Linked DNA regions of Astyanax mexicanus. The protein of the gene in region 1 interacts with the protein of each later gene in a biochemical or structural test. Links are inferred from orthologs where the notes say so. Each region holds a gene or a part of one and is shown in the gene's direction. Other genes may lie near its edges. The genes, in order: ret and tln1.

What was found.
Region 2: the proteins of ret (region 1) and tln1 interact in a surface display test, tested with the Homo sapiens proteins (2 studies listed by BioGRID and IntAct, with this or other methods). The link is inferred for Astyanax mexicanus from reciprocal best matches to the Homo sapiens genes RET and TLN1.

Annotation. Positions count from the first base shown.
Region 1 is NC_064414.1:37,611,157-37,622,116, forward strand, and holds the start of ret (proto-oncogene tyrosine-protein kinase receptor Ret), read left to right. Parts: upstream 1-6,177; 5' UTR 6,178-6,419; coding exon 6,420-6,483; intron 6,484-10,960. UniProt on the Homo sapiens protein: Receptor tyrosine-protein kinase involved in numerous cellular mechanisms including cell proliferation, neuronal navigation, cell migration, and cell differentiation in response to glia cell line-derived growth family factors (GDNF, NRTN, ARTN, PSPN and GDF15).
Region 2 is NC_064427.1:27,067,274-27,078,115, reverse strand, and holds the start of tln1 (talin-1), read left to right. Parts: upstream 1-6,898; 5' UTR 6,899-7,093; intron 7,094-7,123; exon of another isoform or gene 7,124-7,220; intron 7,221-10,842. UniProt on the Homo sapiens protein: High molecular weight cytoskeletal protein concentrated at regions of cell-matrix and cell-cell contacts. Involved in connections of major cytoskeletal structures to the plasma membrane.

The DNA of each region.
Region 1 (10,960 bases):
TCAATCGGTTTAGTGAATTAAGCTGCTGTCACCATGATCCAGAGTTCGCAGGTTTGAATCCTGGGTCATGGTGATGGCCATCAGCAGCCAGAGTCCGAGCACAGTTGGCCATGCTCTTACTAGATTTATGTCACATGTATCTGAGGAGGCATGTGTTAACCTTCACCCTCCTAGTGTTGGGGGCATTATTAGTGATAGGGGAGGTCCTAGTGAGTGGGTCGAGTAATTGGTTTTCTAGATTTGTGAGAAATAAATAAAAAAAAGAACATAAGTAGACCAAATGATGCTTAGGGATATATTTTTAATATTGCTTTATTGGTTGCTTTTTGATGAATGAAAAGCAGTTCTGCAGATGCTTCATATGTATGAGCCGCATGTTTAATATATTATATATACTCTCTCTAATATATTAGTTCCACAAAATATATTAGAGAGAGTGTCTTAAACATAGGACCAAAATATGTACATGCCCAAATCATGTACAGTACATATACGTACCAACTACTGCCAAGTTAAAAATGACAAATGGTTCTGTATAAACTTTACATTTATACAGTCATTTGGGTGGAGCAAATGCTGAATCTTTACATTTTTACAGTAAAAATATTGTGAAAAAAATATTCCATTGGAAGATTGAATTGAATTTATGTTTTATGAATTCAATCAAAGACCTCCTTCTCTGTCAGTTCATGAGAAAGCTTTTCATTTTGAGGTGATTAAATTACCCTCATTAGTTGAGCAGCCCTAAAGATGGACGTAAATTGGTCAACTGATTTAGGAAGTGGACTAATGATCATTGTTGCTTGAGGTCCCAATGGGAATGTGTTTCTCATTAGCACATCTCATTATCATTGTCATTTCAGCTACCGTGAGTCTAATGCATAGTCTGCAAATGGCTCAAGCACTAAACCAAGCACCGATTGGTTATGCTTCCCCCTAAAAAAAGACAAAACACAATCACTATCAGTGATATTCTACTTTGAATGAGCTCAAATCTCCAGATGATGTTATCACAGTCATATTACACGCAAAAAAAACTCAGTGTGGTCATATATGTCATGGATCTGTCCTCGCATTTGCTTGTCTGTATTGATTCACATTGGCCATATGTCTCACAATGCCTGCTGTAGAGTAATCTGAGCTTTGTTAATATGGACCTTTTAGGCTGGGTTATGTGCCCTTTTATGTATAGTTATGTAAACAATGCCTTTCTGTTGGACAATATCAAGAATATCTACAATAAATGATAAATATTATTTACAAAACAAAGCAACAGAGCATCTTCAAATCAACAATTTGGGTCCAGTTTCTCAAATGGATCTTAGTGATAAGATCATATTAACATGTAAAGAGATTCCTTGGTGTGATGCTTCCTTTATCATTTATTCTTCATATTATTTTATTATTTAGTCATACTGTTTAAGATGTTTTTAGAAACAAAATTATGATGAAGTTTAGTAAATAGAATGACATGGCAAAAGTCATAAGACAGCAGTGTGTATCTGATCTTGAAGTGTTTCTTCATGGCATGGCTTGGGAATATCTAGTTTAATATCTAGTCTAGTATTATTGATGTTAAACACTGGAGTTGAGTGAGGTCAGACATATGTGACACTTAATTTCTGAAGTTGCGTGTTTTTTTTTTCATCAACAATATATATATATATATATATATATATATATATATATATATATATATATATATATATAATTATATAAAACAGTGTGAATTTTTCTTTTGCTAAAAACAGCGTAAAAAGTAGTACCCTGATGTGATAATTAGGGGTGGGTAATATATGGCATAATATTTCAGGGTATAATATTGTTCACGATAATCAAAAATGTTGCCAATATTATAGCGTACTATACAATATGGCACACCCCTAATATTAATGTGTTGTTTTATGTGTGGATTACCACACATGAAACTTTCTTTACAATTATTTTTGGGTCCTGTGATTATATATTTTGTCCTATGTCTGTGCATGTTATTAAAAAAAAAGTTTTCATTTGAATATCTGAAATATTTGTCTGCATCTATTAGTGTGCTGAGCAGTTTTATTTTTACAGCTGCATTTATCTGACTGAATACAACAAATACCTTGGCCTTGTGGTTGATCTGAGACAGTTCAGCTGTTTGGAGCCAGTAGACTATTGGACCAGTGCAGGGTCCTAGAATAAACCCAGCATAAGCACATTTCAGGCCCACTTTAGCTTAGTATAGGTTTCACTCTGGGTTCAGCCGTGTACACATCGATTGGTGTGATTGTCGTGTGACGGACTGGTGACCAGCCCTGGAGGCAGAGAATCCGTGTATCATTCGTTCATTTGATATTCAATTGAGAATCAAAATCGGAAAATTAAAAAACCAATTCGTTTTTTCGTTTTTCGTTTTTGAATATAATACCAAAAAACGAATAACGGCTTGTATTTTGTATTTTTATTTGGTTATCCAAACAAAAATTGGAAATTTAAAAAACGGACCAGGAGCCGAATTTGATTTTGATTTTGAACTTGACCCATTTGTGTGCCCCGGAAGTTACTGATTTGTTTATTCTTGGTGTTTATTCTTGGTGACACTGGGACCGTGTACCTTTTCAAATGAAAACAGTGAGGGAAGAAGTTTACTACACCATGTATAGACTAACCAGCTAGCTAGCTAGGTTAGTTAGCCAGCTAGTCACGTATATAAAAAAGTATGTAGGCGGCAATTCACAGAATAACATTAACTAAATATGACATTTAGCTACGGAACGTTAGACAAACACCTGAAAGATCCTGCCGATTTTTTCTGTTGTCATATCGTCTTCTTTCACTGCAACGCGTTAAGTTCCTCTGAACAAGATAAAACTCTCCATCCTCAACTCCATCCAAAGCCTACAGCAATACAGACTGTGTAGATAACACTGCAGTGAACTCCCGCGCAACAGAAACCCACCAAGAATAAACAAATCAGTAACTTCCGGGGCACACAAATGGGTCAAGTTCAAAATCAAAATCAAATTCGGCTCCTGAATCCGTGTATCATTCGTTCATTTGATATTCAATTGAGAATCAAAATCGGAAAATTAAAAAACCAATTCGTTTTTTCGTTTTTGAATATAATACCAAAAAACGAATAACGGCTTGTATTTTGTATTTTTATTTGGTTATCCAAACAAAAATTGGAAATTTAAAAAACGGACCAGGAGCCGAATTTGATTTTGATTTTGAACTTGACCCATTTGTGTGCCCCGGAAGTTACTGATTTGTTTATTCTTGGTGGGTTTCTGTTGCGCGGGAGTTCACTGCAGTGTTATCTACACAGTCTGTATTGCTGTAGGCTTTGGATGGAGTTGAGGATGGAGAGTTTTATCTTGTTCAGAGGAACTAAACGCGTTGCAGTGAAAGAAGACGATATGACAACAGAAAAAATCGGCAGGATCTTTCAGGTGTTTGTCTAACGTTCCGTAGCTAAATGTCATATTTAGTTAATGTTATTCTGTGAATTGCCGCCTACTAAATATGACATTTAGCTACGGAACGTTAGACAAACACCTGAAAGATCCTGCCGATTTTTTCTGTTGTCATATCGTCTTCTTTCACTGCAACGCGTTTAGTTCCTCTGAACAAGATAAAACTCTCCATCCTCAACTCCATCCAAAGCCTACAGCAATACAGACTGTGTAGATAACACTGCAGTGAACTCCCGCGCAACAGAAACCCACCAAGAATAAACAAATCAGTAACTTCCGGGGCACACAAATGGGTCAAGTTCAAAATCAAAATCAAATTCGGCTCCTGGTCCGTTTTTTAAATTTCCAATTTTTGTTTGGATAACCAAATAAAAATACAAAATACAAGCCGTTATTCGTTTTTTGGTATTATATTCAAAAACGAAAAACGAAAAAACGAATTGGTTTTTTAATTTTCCGATTTTGATTCTCAATTGAATATCAAATGAACGAATGATACACGGATTGCAGAGTAATGCATCATGGCTGTCCAGCTCAACGTGGATAGAAGGTCTTGCTTTTTTATCCACCCGTTTTGTGGTAAATCCCGCTCTTCTGTTCCAGGGTTGGATAGCAGATCACCCTCACAAACAGTCCGCCTAATGGACCAATCCTAGCGCAGGCGGTGGGGCAGACCTATCCAATCCCAACGCAGGAGGCGGGGCATGTGTAAATACTGGCGGGAAAAAAACATCGCCATGCGCCATGAGTTAATCAGCCAACCAGAGAGTAACAGGCATGACCCAGCAGCTACTGAAACAAGTTCAGAGCAACAGCATTTACATCTAAAAATGCTAAATTATCACTATATTTGTGCAGTTTTTATATTATATATTATATATAATACAAAATAAGAATAATAAAAAAAGATTAATCCACGCACACAATACACAATTTTCAAATTAGTGTAGTATATTTAATTATTTTATATAAAATACAAATACATACAGACATACATGCATACTGTAAATAATTCAACTAAAATATTCATTTTCATTCAATATATTAATACACATATTATGTATAATTAAACAATGCAATATGCTGCACTGGTCCAAAAGTCAATGTTAAAAAGCCTAAAATAGTAAGGCTGCCCGAGTGGGACACAATGCACCATGATATAATAACAGGAATCTAATATATGCAGAACACCGAAAAACTATACTTGTACTTATATAACTAAAGGCCAGTGTGTTATATCCTGTATAAAGACATGCAGTCTGTACATACAAGCATAAATAGTAATGCCAGTAGAATATATACAAAGGCGTATATGTTTTAGCCATTTTAGCCATAGCCATTGTTAGTTGCTGACAATATAACTAAATATAAATGTGATAAAAGTGTTAAAGGAACAATCCAGGGTAAAATGGACTTGGGGTGCAGTGAAAACTGGTATGAATAAATGTTTTTGTTAAATAGCCCACCTCTGTTCAACCCCAACATTCAGAAATAGGATGCTTTTAGCCGATGCTGCCCATGCAAAGAAATCTCTTTTTTTACACCATTAGCAAGCACAAGATAGCAACAGCTGGAATACTTATAATATACCTATATACATTGCTCCTTTTGCTAGCATTATAAGCCTGTTGGGAGCATCAGCTAAAATTACTGTATTTTGGAATCCAGGGGGAGAATGAATGTAGGCAAAATTTAGCAGTCGTTATCATGTTTCAATACACCCCAAGTCTCTTTCACACTGGATTTCTCCTTTAAGACCTCAATCACATTTTAACATTTAATGTGTACTGTCAGATTGCTGTATTCATGCATCCTTATCCTTTTTTTTAGCATGTATCTATAAACTACCAAGCATTATATAGTATGTATGTATGTTTGTTTGTGTATATGTTTGTATATTTGTGTATCACTTACTTTCATTACATTCTTACAGTTTACCTACAGAAGTCTCTCCAACAGTTCACTTTAACATGTGATTTTGTGTTTTAGTCACAAGAAAAAACAACAGCACTTGCTGATTGGAGAATGTCAGATTTATTAGAGATACAAAGATAACCAACGCGTATTAGCACTCAAGCCTTCATCAGGCTTAAAAGACAAAAGCTAATAACACTCCAGTTTTTAAAACACACATGATTACAAAACAACCAATAAAAACACCCCAATTATTAAAGGTCACATAATGAGAGACTGACAGCTCAATTCTTTGATTTTACCAAATTGAAAACCTTTGGAATATAATCAAGATGGATGATCACAAGTCAACAAACCAAGTTGAACTGCTTGATTTTTTGCACCAGGAGTGGCATAAAGTTAACTAAAACTAACATAAACTATTGTTGTGTGAACAAAACTCAGTTAAGTTGAATAAACTAAACTGATTCAAGTCTAGCTTTAACTCAGTTAAGTTGAATACTTAACTTTGTATATATTTACAACTTAACTGAGTCAAAGATAAAAGATGAATTGAGTTAAGTTGACACAATATATATATTTTTTTTCAGTGTAGCTGAACTACTGTGTGTGTCAGTGTGATGCACTACACTCCGAGTCATTTGTTTAGACTCTTTATCAGACTCGGTTTTCTCGTTTCTCCTTATTATTATCATCCTGTGATTCTCCAGACTTTCTGTGGGAAGAAGCTCTCTCTCTGTGTGTGGTGGTGGTGATGCTGTGGAGAACCCAGCTGAGGATGTGAGTGTGGTCTGAGCCTCCTCCTCCTCCTCCCCCTGCATCGCCCCGCACACACGCTACGCAGCTAACGTTAGCGCCGCACTCACCAACTCGTCAATGGGATACTCAGACTACGGACTTTTTTGGCTCCTGCGAAAAGCGTTAAACGGCTGAATTCCTAAGGCTCTGTTTTTTTTTGTAAAAAATTCAGAGCGGCGGCGGTAGCGGCACAGTTCATCATCAGGTTGATTTAGTCTGTTGAATCAGAAATCCCACTTATGAGTGATAAGTATGGGCACGGCGCGCGGAACGCTGAGGGGGGACGTTGTTGTGGTCCTCTTGCTGCTGTGTGAAGGTAAGGATGGGCTATTTCCTTCATTTCTTCTTCTGTTTTCCTACTGAGTGCTGAGTATTTTCTCTGTGGTGTTTTATTATATAGCGAGTCAGTTGTGCGTGTTTAGCGTTTTTTAGAGGCGCCGCGCTTTCTTTCTGGCATTATGGCGCGTTTACACTTGTTCTCCTTGAAGTTAAAACAAGTTCTGATTCAGATTCCTTACAGTCTATTTTCACGTGCCTATCTTATTATTTTTACCGTAATTGTTAGGCTTGTCACGATAGCCATTTTTTGACGATATATTGTCCATATTATTGTCATTTTAAGATCAGTTAATGCCTCTGATATAAAGCATTTCTACACTTATTTTGAAAAAGAAATGCAGGTTTAACTATTAACAATATTTAGACACTATAATTAGAATATAAGAATATTTAAATAAAATATCAGAAATTAAAAAAAGAAGAATAAAGTTGACGTCCATTCTCATTTACATTAATGATCACTTCTCCTTAACCCTCTGTGGCAATAATTCTATTTTTTAGAGAGAAATATATATATTTTTGGAAGTTTGGGAGTCCCTGTAGATATAGCTATAACTTATATTTAGATTTTGACTTTTGATAACAAGCTAATAATTTAAATCAGGCGTTTTAGAGCAAGAAAGCACACAAAACATGTAGAAGATAGAAGATGGTCTCCACCAGGACCAGAGATGAGAACTGCACAAAGCAACAGATATAAATACACCGTTTTTTCAAGTTAACAACAACAATCTAAGAGTATTGTAATAATATAAAAAGCTAAATATATTTCTTTACATATTCTTGCACATATAAATTTGTAAATAATTGTACATCTCATTGTATAAGACATTGATACACCTTGTAACATTATATTATAGATAGATAGAACAATAAGGTATTGAATCATATGGCATGTAAAATCTGGTTTGTTGTTTAAGAGAAACACAATGCCATAGAGGGCTAAGTAAACACAATGTCCAATATTAAGCTCAGCTTAAATGATTGAGGTAATTGTACATACACATGTTGTACATAATTTTTTATGGCAGGCCATATTTTAATTGTCACATATAGAGAGCGTATGCAGTTACATGTTTTGTATTGTAGGGTGATCTATGCATTAATATATCTAAAATGTAACTTTAGAACTTCCATTAAGATACTAATTGGCCGGATTCAATAAATTAGCCATACAAAGCTGCAAAAGCTTAATTCCTCATATATTTCCACACCCCTCAAGTAATAAATGGAGTTATGTAGCACATTGTGGTTATGAAAAAAACAGACAGTCTATTTATACTGCAGCCTATTTATTTTTACAGCCAGGCATTGCAGTGTCCAGGCTTAAATACATCCTAGACCATCTCCCAGATCTCCCTCCCGTGCTCTCCCATTCTGCATGTTCAGGGATTTGTTTCTTCCATTCTGTAAGTGAGAGGCTGCATTGAATCCAGAGGACTTGTGACCTAGTATGCCACATATTTCCCGCAAGCAATATGCACACTGTTATATATTATAATATTATAATCCCATTTAAAACCCTCTGTCCAACTGTACTAACACTCCCCTCTCAAATCGACTATATTTATATTCTAACTCATAGCTCGGGAGTTTTTAGATGGCACAGTGTGAGCAGAGATTTACACTAAAAGAGAAGAGTCATGCTGGTGCGGTGTGAATGTAGGCAACGTAGGCAAAAGCAGTACATAGCAGAGGCTTTTTTTTCTGCTATTTTGGTCCTTCAGAAAGCATGCCACCGTATGTGCATGCATGTGAGCGCTGCATTTCAACATTACCTCATTATGGCATGTGATGGAGAGCAGAGGTTGAGCTGTGATTCTGATGACGAGTAAATGGTAAATTAAGCTTGCAGTGTCTAAAGAGTTGTACTATAAGGATGACAGGTGCTACAGTCTAGCTCAGTAAAGACCAGCAACAAATGCGAGACATGTTTGTGGTGAACTCCATTTCAATTTATATGCAAATGGAAATGCAAGTTTTTAGGAGCCATTTGTAAAGGTTATCAGTCTCTCGATAAACAACGGCAAGACTTATATTTCCTTGCCTGATTTACACCGAGGGAGGAGATACTGAAAGTAGGCCAGCGTGGATGCAGTCTGTACTATAAAATGAGTAATGTGAAATATTATATATATTTTTTTAGTTTAGCAAGGGCAGTTCACAGTCAGAATTAGAGCCACGATATGTATAATGTAATATTACATTATTGTATAGAGTATCACAGTTTATTGATGGTACTGAATAATTCAGACATGGATGTGTGGTTCAGATTCAGCTCGCACTACAGGGTCTCGTAATGTAAGCTCAGTAAACGTACAGGGACTCAAGCCACACGGCAACTAAGCTTTCAGTGTAAACATAAACCTGTGTGCTGAAGAAGATGTAGCAGGTTTTCAGATTGCACAACAGCAGTATTTTATTCGTTGATTATATTTTTATAAAACATTCATTTGCCCCTTATCTATTGAGAAGGACATATCTATTTTATGTTTTCATCAGGTGTGTAATGTTTGTAAAGGTTATTCAGTTCCTGAGTTATTATAAGTATACATTTATTGTTTAAGGTTAGTCACTTTTGTAAATGTACAAGACAAGCTGCAGTGGATGAGAGCATAAAGCAAAGCCACTTTATTGGGTTTAATCCAGAAATCACTGTAGCAGTGCATAGTGTGTGTGTGTGGGGGGGGGGGGGGGGCAGACAGGGTAAACATAGGCATATCCGCAATTCCAAACCAAGCAAACAGGCAGTTAGAACAAAACAAGATAACACTCCAACAATCAAACTAAGACAAACAGGTTGAGAAAAATCAGGGATAACACTGCTTGCAGGGATAACACTGCAGACTGACTGTAGTGCAAAGCTTTATGGGAAAACAATGAAAGCAACAGAGAATGCATACATGGACACACAAACAACAGGTGAGGACAGTAATCAGCAGCCGCACTCAGGGTGGCTCCATTGTGGTGTACAACCAGTTTGGTTGATTGTGAACAACAGAACCATCGTGATTACAACGTGAGAAAACCCTTCCTTAATGCGCAGCCCCTAAAGCACCAAAGCTGGAATCGCGGGGAGGGCTCGGACCAGACCTGGACCACTGTGTAAGATAGGACACCTAGTGGCAGGGCTGGATCAACAACAAGACCTGGAACTGGTTTCTAGACAGAAATGGAACAAGCAGCTAACACAAGCCAAAAGTTAAGACCGGAACAAGGACCTGCTTAGGACTGAGACAAGGGTTTAGTAGAAGATGTGGGTCGAAAGGGACTCTGAATCGTGAATACAGCAAATTTCAGATAACAAATGAGTAACCAGGAAAGAGACCAACATTTTATATGTCCAAAAGAGGTGGTCAAAGTCCAGATGACCTGGACTATGGTTTGGTTTGCTTGTAGCGTAAAAGCTCTTTTTTTTAGATGTTTTAGACTTTAGGGAAGTTGAGACAGGCTATCATCAACTATTCATTAAAGAGAAGAAAAAAAACAGCGTTGTGCCAAAATCCAAATCCAACTCTGCATGCACTCATGTTGCTAGCAGTTTGTGTGCAAACATTTACTCCTGTGACTAACCCTAACCCTAGATTAATTCTTATATATAAAAAGTGATCGAGGGTAATCTGTTGCTGGGTGATGACATGGATGTGTACTTGGAAGCGAGTCAGATTCCGTACAACACCTGGAAACTGAGCTGACAAACTAATTGGTGTAATGTTTAAGGAAACACAGCCCACATAGGTGATAATGACAGGGTGTAGTTAAGTCCTTTATTCCACTGACTAAAATGCAATGTGACTAACTAACCAGACTAAATGTTTACAGTGTAACAAACACATAAACCTTAGTTTTAGGTTATTAAAACAGACTAAGATTTGATCAGGAACTAATCCGGATGTAAACATGATTAGAAGCAGTAACTGGGTCATTGTAAAGTTAATAACAGTGGCAGCAACTTGCACATTAGCTGGGGCAATGATTGGGGCCAGCACCTAGGTCAGGGTCATGGACTAGGGCCAGACCAAAGACAGGAGCAACATGAAACAACAGCTGGAGCTGCAATGGAGCTACACCAGAGACAGGAGCTGAATCACCAACACACATAGGAGGGGCAGGAGCTAAGTCATCTGCAGAAGCTGATTTGGAAAATAGCTGATTCACTAACAAGGCTAGCAACAAAAACTAGACCAGAGAAAAACACAAACTAGAACAAAGAAGATACTGGTACGGAGATAGAAACCCTATTAGGGACAGAACATTGACTGAGGATGGAGCAGGTAGAAGAATTGAGTCTGTTGCTAAAGCGAGATCTAGATCATTGTGTACGACTGCAACTTCTACAGGATCTAGGACAGAATCAGGAACACTAAGTCCAGAACTGAGCCCAGAATTATGTGAGTGAAACAACCTTAAGCTCTGAGATCTCAGAGCAGGTCCATGGGCTTTGGAAATGGTTT
Region 2 (10,842 bases), on another chromosome or scaffold:
AACATTTCTAGTAATAAATATCTCCGGTTTGTACAGATGACAGTGATTCATAAAAACGAGGAGTGACGCATGATTACTAGGGATGGGCGGTTTGACCCCGAGGCTTCGAAGCTTGTGTCACTTTTCTGACACGTGCTGATTGGACACAATGTACCAGAGCTTGTATTAAAGTCGCTACTGGCGTTTGAAGTTTCGAACGCGTCAATGAACCACCGGAAATGGCGGGACTGGTTCAAAAGGTTTGGCGGTATCCCATGTCTCACTGACTACTTAATAAAGCAGTAAAACTCTTGATGGCTCGTTTGTGTTGTACAGTATCATTATTGATTTTGCAAACAATATGGAATCTTTCACCACCTCCACCTTAACCAAGCGTTCCATTGCTTAGGAGCATTTTGAGGAAATAGCAAAAAATAGGGTGAGCACTAAATATATAAAAAAAAACCTTCTGTTAATTAACATTAACTGTATAGTGTGTTATTCTAATGAAAATATTTATATTTTAAAGGAGCGGTGGCGCGTTTGACCACAAACACTCGTTCAAATGCCAGGGTCATACTTCTAATCATATATATTTTTTAAACATTATATTAGTTATGATTTTCAATAATGACAACAACCAAGTATTTATTGCATAATTTTAATATTTAAAGAGGGTTATCAGCAGATCAGAACAGATACTGAGTGAGCAGTAAATCTCACAGGGTTAATTTGCTTCGTGGTAAAGTGCAGGATAATTTTAGCCACTAGATGTCACTCTTCTCTGAGGCTTCAATGCCTCGAATCAGGAAGAAGCTTCAAAAGCTTTAGTGAGGCTTCATCCGCCCATCACTAGTGATTACAGCTGACTAATTTTTAAATCAATCTTACTAATTTTTTGCAGCTGTATTTTTAAAAAATATGTTTATATTTTACATAAATCTGTGAAGAAATGTGTTAATTTCAAGCTTTCATTTTGTTTTAACAGTGTTTATAAAGTATATAAAAAGTTTTTTTGTAGTTTGATTTTAGGTACTGATGGGTTCAGTGTAGAGGCATTTAAATGCTTAAACTCTTTCCTGAATTTTTTAATGTTCAAGATTCAATTTTGAATCCCAGACCTGTTGGATCAAAGACTCTTGTTAATGTAGCCATATCACTTTGCTTCATTCATTTATGTATTTATTTATTTCTCAGAAAAGTAAATAATAAACTGATTACATTATAATTAGTAAGTAATACTAACAGTATAGTAATTATTGGTATTGGTATTTATCAGGAACAGTTAAATAAGACTCTTCTAGCACTCTTTATAGCACCCATTGTTGAACTATTTTGATGTAAAGAGAAATAAAATTAATAACTAAAATATGTGAAAGGTCCAGTTGCATTTCCATCCTATTAAAAGTGATTATCCTATTTCCCCAGTTACTGCTTTTTATTTCCATTCCTCCTCCTACTCTTCTCACCTCGATTCATCGGCCTTCTTCCTGGGTAGGAGAGGAGTAGGAAGGTAGAGGAATCTCCAACCCAGAAGAAGACAGAGGAGTCAAGGAGAGAAGGATGAAGAACGGAGAGATGTATCATCAATTGAGGAAATGGGACAGCTGATCCCTTTTAATAGTGTGTTGGCTACTGATGAACTGAGCCAATCACAACGCTCGCTTTCAGATCCCCGAACACTGCCCAGCCAATCACAGCTCAGCTGCAGCAAGCAGTCTGCACATATACGTCAATCTTTATAATTGTTCATTTAAATTCCAGCTCTTTGCAGAGAACACGCTACAGTTGCCAGTATTTATACCATTGCCATATATTTACTGCTTAGCTAAAGATCAGTAACTTTTAAAGTTTCTAGACGCGACCAAATAATCGAGTCTTTTAAAGACGGATATCCAGCAGCATCACCGGTTTGATGGTATCAGTGAGAACGCTGTTTATTACGGTGGCCGAGAAAGCCCAGCGCAGTGCAAATTGAAAAGCGCTGCAAAAGCACAAAACACATCCATCAAAATTACAACACAGGCGCAGCAAATAGAAAAACGCGCTGCAAATAGAAAAACGCGCTGCAAATAGAACCACAACACAACGGATGTGAGTCACAACACAACGGAATTTTCCCGGGGGACCTTAAAAGATGCTGTACCAGCTGTATACAAAGGACAATAAGTGGCAAACAAGCTTCTGAAAAGTAAGTTATGTTTATTACCTGTGATTGCCACGGTTGTGTGCATATTATTAAAAGTTCTGCTTCACAAAACGCCTTGTTTGCCACTTATTGTCTTTTGTACACATAGTGAAGTCCGAGACGTACAGTATCTTTTAAGGTCCCCCGGGAAAATTCCGTTGTGTTGTGACTCACTTCCGTTGTGTTGTGGTTCTATTTGCAGCGCGTTTTTCTATTTGCAGCGCGTTTTTCTATTTGCTGCGCCTGTGTTGTAATTTTGATGGATGTGTTTTGTGCTTTTGCAGCGCTTTTCAATTTGCACTGCGTTGGGCTTTCTCGGCCACCGTAGTTTATAGTAGTGAGGACATGAAAACGGAGCCCCCCCCTCTCTCAGTTAAGTTTATTCCTTTCGGTTTTCTTCAGGTGTAGGTCTTGTTGAACACCGTTATCTTACCAGGTAAATGGTTGGGTAGTTGTTACGCCAGGCAGGTAGTTTATATACCACTGAGCTCTTTAGTTAAGACTTCTAATGAACATCTAGCTAACAATCCAATGCAAACTTAGCTAATACTAGCTAATTAGTAGGCACCAACTGATTGTCCCGACGTGGAGCTACGGTTTTAATAGTAGGTTTTGGGCGTAAGTAAGGTGTTTTCTGCTTATAATTAAGAATCTGTTTATAAAGTAAATAGACTACACCGCGAGTCACTCACACAGCTGGTGAGAATAGATTAATTAACAGCAAACTGTGACAAACTGTGTATAATGACTAGTTTCCACACCTCAGGCCGTAGACTAGCTTTAGCCCAGTAAACGCTATGCTAGTAATGCGCATTACCCAAGAGTATCAACTACCAATCAAACATTAACGTGAGTTGTATGAAATTAAATTGGCTAGCTAATTAACCCTTATTTATATAATTTAATTTGTCAAACTTTAATGAACTAATAATAATTATTATTATTATTATTATATATATTTTTTACTACAAACTTAAGTTAATCATAGAACCTAGTTAACTAGTAAGACTACTGAACATCTCTCTTTAAACAGTAGTAACTGCTAGTAACTAGGATTAAAATGGAAATTCGGGATGTCAATGCATTGTTCCATGTCGCTGATTTGAAAATAAGAAACGTTAAACCCGATTTCGGTTGATGAGTCGGTTGATGAGTCGGTTGATGAGTCGGTTGATGAGTCGGTTGATGAGTCGGTTCATGCTGATATTTAGCTCTATTTATTTATTTTTTAAATCCACGCAAACTTCAATTTTTTCTGCAGATTTCCTTTAGTATGCTCTACTGAAGCACTTCTACTTTAAAAGACCAACGGCATCATAACACTTTGCACTTGCTTAGAGCTTTATTAACACCTGTTCATCTACTCATTCATGTTACTATCTAATCAGCAAGTTGTGTTGTAGCAGTGCTGAAAACTATGCCAATAGACCAGCAGCTTCAAACAATCCAGATTCAGAATGCACTTTTATTGCTTGTTTTTCATATTTTGTTTTAAATAAAATTTTGAAGATTGTGCCATTTAATAAAGACAAGAAATAAATGCTTGTGTTTTTTTGTTTTTGTTTGTTTTTTTGTCCACCTGCTGAGAATTATTGAATAAAGTATAAAACACTGAATTGTTTCGGCTGTGCCATAATGAATCAATCTTAATATTTAGATTTCCCTTCCCATCAAAGAATTGTGAATGAGCCAATAGATCAGAATTATAACCTTTTTGTCCCCGTTATTTACATTTACATTATTTGAGGAACATCAGTATTGTAGCTTATCCACATGGTTAAGTTGTGCCAGCTGATTTCCATTGTGCCTGGTGGCCTGGCAGCAGCTTTAGGACGTGCTGTGGATAAAGTTATGGAGATTTCTGCTTGTGCTATTTAAATTGGCGTTCAACACCTGGCCGCCAGGGGGCGCTGATTGGTGTGGCAACTGGGAGTTTGCACTGCTGGGGGAATGGTAGGCCAGCGCCTGGCAGAAAATGAGGTTATGGTCATATGTGGTAGGTTTCTAAGATAGGGAACCCTAGAATTTATATTTTCATGTGGATTTGGAACATTTCCAAAAGCGCTTTATTGTAATAAGAGGAAGACTACAATAAATCTGTGTACAAAATCTTTACAAACTTAATTTATTTTTGTACATTTATTTAGACAAAAATCTACTTTCATAATTAGACCAGAATGACTCAGCTGTTTAAAATATATATTAATATTCACTCTGAATTGATGCATTACAATTATAGAATTATGTAAAGCTTTATGCAACAGTTTTTTTATGCATTTTGTTTTTGCCATGCCTGCAGTGCTGCTTTTTACAATGTGTTTAAATAACACATTTTTTAAAGACATATCTTGAACTTTTGAAGAGAATTTTCGTAAAAATCAAGCTATTTAATTATATTTAAGGAATAACCCCGCCACTTAACCCCTTTACAGGCTTTGGAACGTATACAGGCTACGAGTGTAGATGATACAAAATCCTTATTCTCTGCAGTAAAATAGGTTATTCACATTCTGAAAAATTTGTGGTCTTTAGAGAGACTCCTACAGGTTACTTGTTGAAGCTACCTGTTCATTCTCTGCTCTACTTTATCATTTTAGATCAGTAACATAAATTAACCCCAAATTCTGCAGGTTTGAATGTAGACAAAAATTAGACAACTGTAATGAAACGAAAAGTTTGGAGGACATGAAATGTTTGATTTGTATTCTGGAAAATAGTGATTTTTAAAATGAAGTTAAGGAAAGTGCCAATGTTACGATTGTTATTCATTATATTTTTAAAGTTTTTTAAAGTAATTTTTTTAAAATAATTTCTATTACACTTACAATTCAGATTTGCAGTAACGTTTATTATTACACGTGAAACCTTTTTATGTAATGCTATTACAAGGTTTAGTCTTATAATATCAGGCAGAAAATTAAAAAAAATATTTGCCTGTTAAGAAGTTAAAAAGTGCTTGATTAGGCTGGAAATATGATTGGTGTGTTGTCAGAAAGTCATAACTCAAGAACCTTTTAATGAGTTTTGTCTGATTATATAGACCTCCATTGACAACCGAGTCTATTTTCTGTTTACAGAACTTTGTTGTACTGCTGTTTTACTATCAGACCACAGGATGGAGCTGTAATAGTGGGCCTGTTTTCCAGAGTAAAAGCGAAAGGAAGAGCTGCAGTGCTGAGCTTAAGTTTTTCGTCTATACTTTTATGTTTTAATTTAAATAAACCACATTATTTATCAGCAGTGGAGTGTTCTAGTGGACCACCATAGCAATAGCAAAAATTTCTCAATTTCTGGCATTTTTTGTTGTGGAGGACATGAGCTGCCCCCTCTCAGAAAAATAGAAACAATAGAAGAGAAAGAAAGAGAGAAAATGAAAGTTGTGAACTGTATCGTTCCGCTGCTTCTCTATCTGTGAAGATCTGCAGAACATTCCCCTCCTGGCTGGCTTTTGTTGTTGAGTGAAAAGGCATCCGGTTTATGAAATCTACCATATCTACGCCCTCTGCTTGTCTGCATAGCTCAGAGTGGTATAATTTAACTCCACTCCTATTCCGCCAAGCCCCGCCCCCCTATAATAAGATTGGCTGAGGCACAGACTAGGACGTTTTATTCTCTCTTACTGCAGTTCTAATCTTCTTGTGACCTCTTTATTTTAGCTTGTTCCCACCAAAAAAAAAAAAAAACACGGTTGTTTTGGTTATGTTGATTATTTTGTCACAACGTTGTGCCATCAACAATGTTCTAAAATAGAATGTGTTTTGTTGCCAGATAATGCATAATGTAACATGACCGACATCTAAGAAAGTCAGAAAGTCAAAAGGTACTGTAGTCTTATTACTTAGAGGGAGTGTTGCCTAATTAAACAAAGTTGTGACAATGAACAGGGCCAACTTTAAACAATGTTGTAGCAACATTGTTAGAGGAAACCACGTTTTAACTACTTTGTGTGTTTGCTGGGTTATTGTGGCAATACTTGTTTTTTTTTTTAAAGTGGAGTACTAATTAAATCACTAAATAAATAATATATATTTTATCTGCGTGTTTAGGCTTATGTTCTTTTCACATTTTCACATCATTTTTGTTGTTTACTTTTAACAATAAACTATTTAGCTTTTTATTGTTATACAGTATAAGTAATAGATATTAAATGCTGCACACATAATTACAACATATAAATTATGAGGATATTCAAGGTACAGAAAATATAAATATACATAAATTATGACAAAAACAAAATTAAGTTATACATACGTTTCATAAGATATCAGACATTTGTTGCTTTTTGGAGGGTTATTTATTAGTTTAAAGGAAGCTTAAGCTTAATAGTTAGGAGCAGTTCTGTCTAACTTACACATATGTATAAATAACCTAGTGGTAAGAACAAAATAGGTTTTTACATGTTCCATATGTTTGGTTCACACTAGAGAAATAACAAATTAACAATAACGTCCATAAGAGACATGGTTAATATTTGGTTTACAGTAAGGAAAATAATAAATAAAGAAAGACAGAAAGAACGAAAAAAATAAAGAAAATCTTTTCACAGATTCACAGAAAACAAGTAAATTGGTCACGTTTATAAAATAAGATATTCGTTACAAAGGTACTTCTTATACTACTTTTTCATGTACACGTCTATGAGTAGTTCTGAGTCTAGTCGCTGAACGACCAATCACTTTTGAGGAGGGGCGTGGCCTGTGCGGATACGGGTGTGGGAAAAAATAGCGTTAGCCGGGCTGCTGCTGCTGCTGCAGGGTGGAGCTTTGACGCTGCCTCAACCAGACAAACGGAGGCAAGGAAAAAACCCAGAATCTGACATTTTACCAACATTTCTGGAACTTACACCACTTTGACTGGGGAACGGGACTATATTTACACCGACTGTAGTCCGAAGGTGGACGGCCGGAGGTCGAGGAAAGCGGGGAGGTAAGGCGAAGTGGAAACTGTCTGTGGAAAGAAACGTTTGGTGAAAACTTTGTGAAGGGTGGGAAGTTCCTTCCGACGAGTCGCCCTCAGTCAACGCGTTTTCTCTGCAGTTTATTTAGCGAGTAGTGTAAGTTACTTTTATTCTGTCATATTATGGGTTTAATGCAGAACTATTCGACTAAATTACGATAAATTCCAAAATAGATGCTGTGAGGAATGAGAGAGCTGGAGAACATGAGAGCAGAAATGCTGAGCTAACTTTAGTTAGCTAACGCTAGGTTCTCTCAGCTTTAACGGTTTACTGGCTAAACCTAAACCTGTTGATATGAAACGCGGAAGATTAGCTAGCGTTACAGTTCTCATACTTTCTGAAAGCCTATTGTTAACCTTTGATTATTAAAATATTGTGTTAAAATTGTATTTATGAGTGGCAATAGCTGTAATGTGCCCGAATACAAAGTACACTAACGTTAACTGTGTGAGTTAATGAGAGTTTGGGAGTAAAAAGTCAAGTACGGCAGCTTAACTTAAGTGAGCTAACCTATGTTAGCTGAGTTATGAGCTCGGGCCTGTAACGGTCAACTTCATGCCTGATGTCACGTTTCTAGTTTAACAAACGTGTAATAGCCGCCATCCTAGAAAGTATTGCCAAGTGTACAGCTCATCTTGACCTCCTGTCTGAAGCTCAGTGCTTACTCATAGATTTGGAGATCATGTGTCTCTAATTAGCTAATGTAGCTATGATTTCAAGCGTTATAATGCTAAAAAACTTCCTAACAAAGCTAGCCAGCTAGTGAACTTAACTAGTTACTGAATAGGGCACTGAGAGAGAGAGATATATAGTAATAATAAAGTGTACTGAATGTGTGCGCACTAGGTTAACTAGCTAACTGTCCAACATAGAAGAGCATTACCGGTAGAATGAGGCACTCTGGAGCAGCCACTCACGAGGCTAAGGTCATCATGACCAGTGCCAGTCTCAGCTAGGTTAGACAGAGGTGGACGAAATGCCTAAATCATGTGGCTACCCGTGTTAAAGTTGAAAAAATTACACCTTACGTAGAAGTACCAAAGTAATAGTACCATGATATTTTACGATTGTAATGTCCAATGTCTTAAGACTTGACTGCCTAATGTTGGCAACAAATAAAAAACAGTGTTTAAATAAGCAAAAATGTAAATTAAAATCTATGTATGTAATAAAATATTTAACTTCATATTGCTGCGCATATACATATTTAAATATTTTATCTTAAAAGGTATTTAAAAGTTAAAATGTTATTTAAACACGATATTCATCAAGTAAATTACTGGTATTGCATCCTATGTGGCTTTGTTTGATCACTTCACCTTAAGTTAGAATGTTAAACCAAATTCTTCTTTCTTATTTTATTTAATGGAGGCATAACATTAAAAATTAAAGGGATTCTGTATTTACAAAAAAAGTGGCTTAAAAGAGGCTTAAGCATACATTCCAAAATACAATACAATCCTATACAGAACTGCATAAATCAATATGATATATTCCATAATGTTTGTAGGCATAGACATTTCCAAAATTTTCCTAAACAAGTTGCTCAGCGGTTGCACTGTGTGCTTGCGTACTGTAACTACAGGATGTCCAACATGTCAAATAAGTTCAAGACAGAGTGTATGCTATATGCTGACTGGTATGTACACTTTGTTTTTAAACAAAAAGACCTTCAAAATACTAAATTAAAAACAGTAAAACATGTATTTTACTTTGTGACTGTCTTTGTAATCACTACATCTTGAGGGGCAAGTTATATGTCTCTCATCTCTCTGGGTTGATGGAGCCTCATGCCATACCTATGGGATGAGCTATGGTGCCATGTGTACCTTACCTCACTAGTTAGCACTCTGGTGATTCAGTGCAGTCATAACAACAGTGGTCAAATATCTAGTGTAAAGCCCTCCCAGAGGAGTAGAAGCTTTTAAAGCAGCAAAGAGGAGACCGCCTCCCTATAAGTACAATTGAACTGTTGAGAGATTGGGTGTTTGTGTATGTGCTCAATTTTTCTACACATATTTGGTCCCTGTTTGTATACAAATACATTTCCCTGGTGCAGCTGGGCTTGGTGTTCCAGGTAATGTAAGTAGTAATTTGACCCTGCCACCTATCACCATGTTTCATTTCATTGTATGCTTTCCTGCATGGTAGTAGGGTGGCACAACAGAGTGTGTGTGTGTGCGTGCGTATGTGTGGCTGCACAGGAGCTGTCAGATGGGTGATATCAGAGGAAAAGATGCACCCTGCAGGGATGGAAAGTCTGCACATATTTGGAGAAACAGTCTAGGAGGCTGAGAGTGTAAAGATGTACAACTGTGAATTACACCTTTACTGAACAGTTCAGCCTGCATACACTGCTGACATAAAGAAAAGATTTAGCCAGAAGTTAAATTTGCAGTTTTTCTCTTACCCCGAACTTGATAGATTGGCCAAGACATGTCTTTTTTTTTTAGCTATTAGTGTAAATACTGAAGTCATCTAAATTAGTGTGAATTAGAGTGTCAGAGACTTACTTTTAGCACTGTAAATTTAGTATTACAGTATTTTTAGGTTAAATTAATATAAGCAAGCTTCAGACCTTAAACATGTCTTAGCCAATCGCTTACATTTTGGGTAAGGGAAGGGGATAGGCAGGATGCTAATGAGATTTTTAGCCTACACAGCATTTTGAGATAGAGATTTCCCATTTAAAGAAAATATAGTATACAACTAGGGTTAATCTTTGTCCAGGAAACTACCTCATTAAGTATGACACGGCATGCAAAAATACAGTATTCGCTTTAGAAGATATGCTATCTTGATGGATTATCCTACCTGGAATACTAAAGTTCTTACTAGATGTGAAAGTGTTTTGAAATAGACTGTTTGGCATTGTTTGTCAGGAATGACACATTTTTGTTTTTGCCAAATGTTCCAGTTACCCACATCAAAGTATGACATGTAATCTGCTAACCAGTAGGGTGTAATTATCATAGTAAACACTGACTTCGCTCCAGCAGAGCCGTCACTCAGCAGATATCTCTTCATCTATCTATTCAAGGTTAGCGGGTGTTGTCACTGCAAAATTGCTTTATGAACCAGCAATTAATTTCCATGCAGTTTGACCCACATTGTGCCGACAGCGGACTGTGTGGCATAGTCGTTATGCTGCCTCAATGGTTTGCATGGGTCTTGGGGTGGTTCATCCTCAGGCGTTCTCTGTATGGGTTCTTCCCTTTTCTTAGGTGGTTGAAAGAGCATTCAGTTCAATTTTGTCTCGTTCTGCCTTTTGGTTTATGCAAGATGAGCTAATCTGCCCAGGGGTAGCCCATTTAGATGAGCTGCAGGGTGGGACCTGGTGCGCTGGATTCAAAACTAGGGGGTGTTAATCTGCTTTGTCTGGCCTATTTGGCTGTGTAGCAGGAGTGTAACAATGCCAATATAAAGAGCTGTAGCAGAATAGTGTTTTGAAATTCTATACAAACGTATTAATATTGCAATAAAATTGAATGAACACAAACAGATATTTTTTTTCTAAAAGATGAGTACATATCTATCCACAGCATATCCATGTCTATGTCCTGCTACAATGCTTGATATAAAATAAAATACTCACTGTATTAATTTTCATGACATCTATGTGAGGCAGAATGTATTTGCAAAATATTTTTTAGAGTAATGTATATCTCGCTGCTGTGGCTTGAATCATGAATTGTGTGCATATGTGTGTAAGCTAATA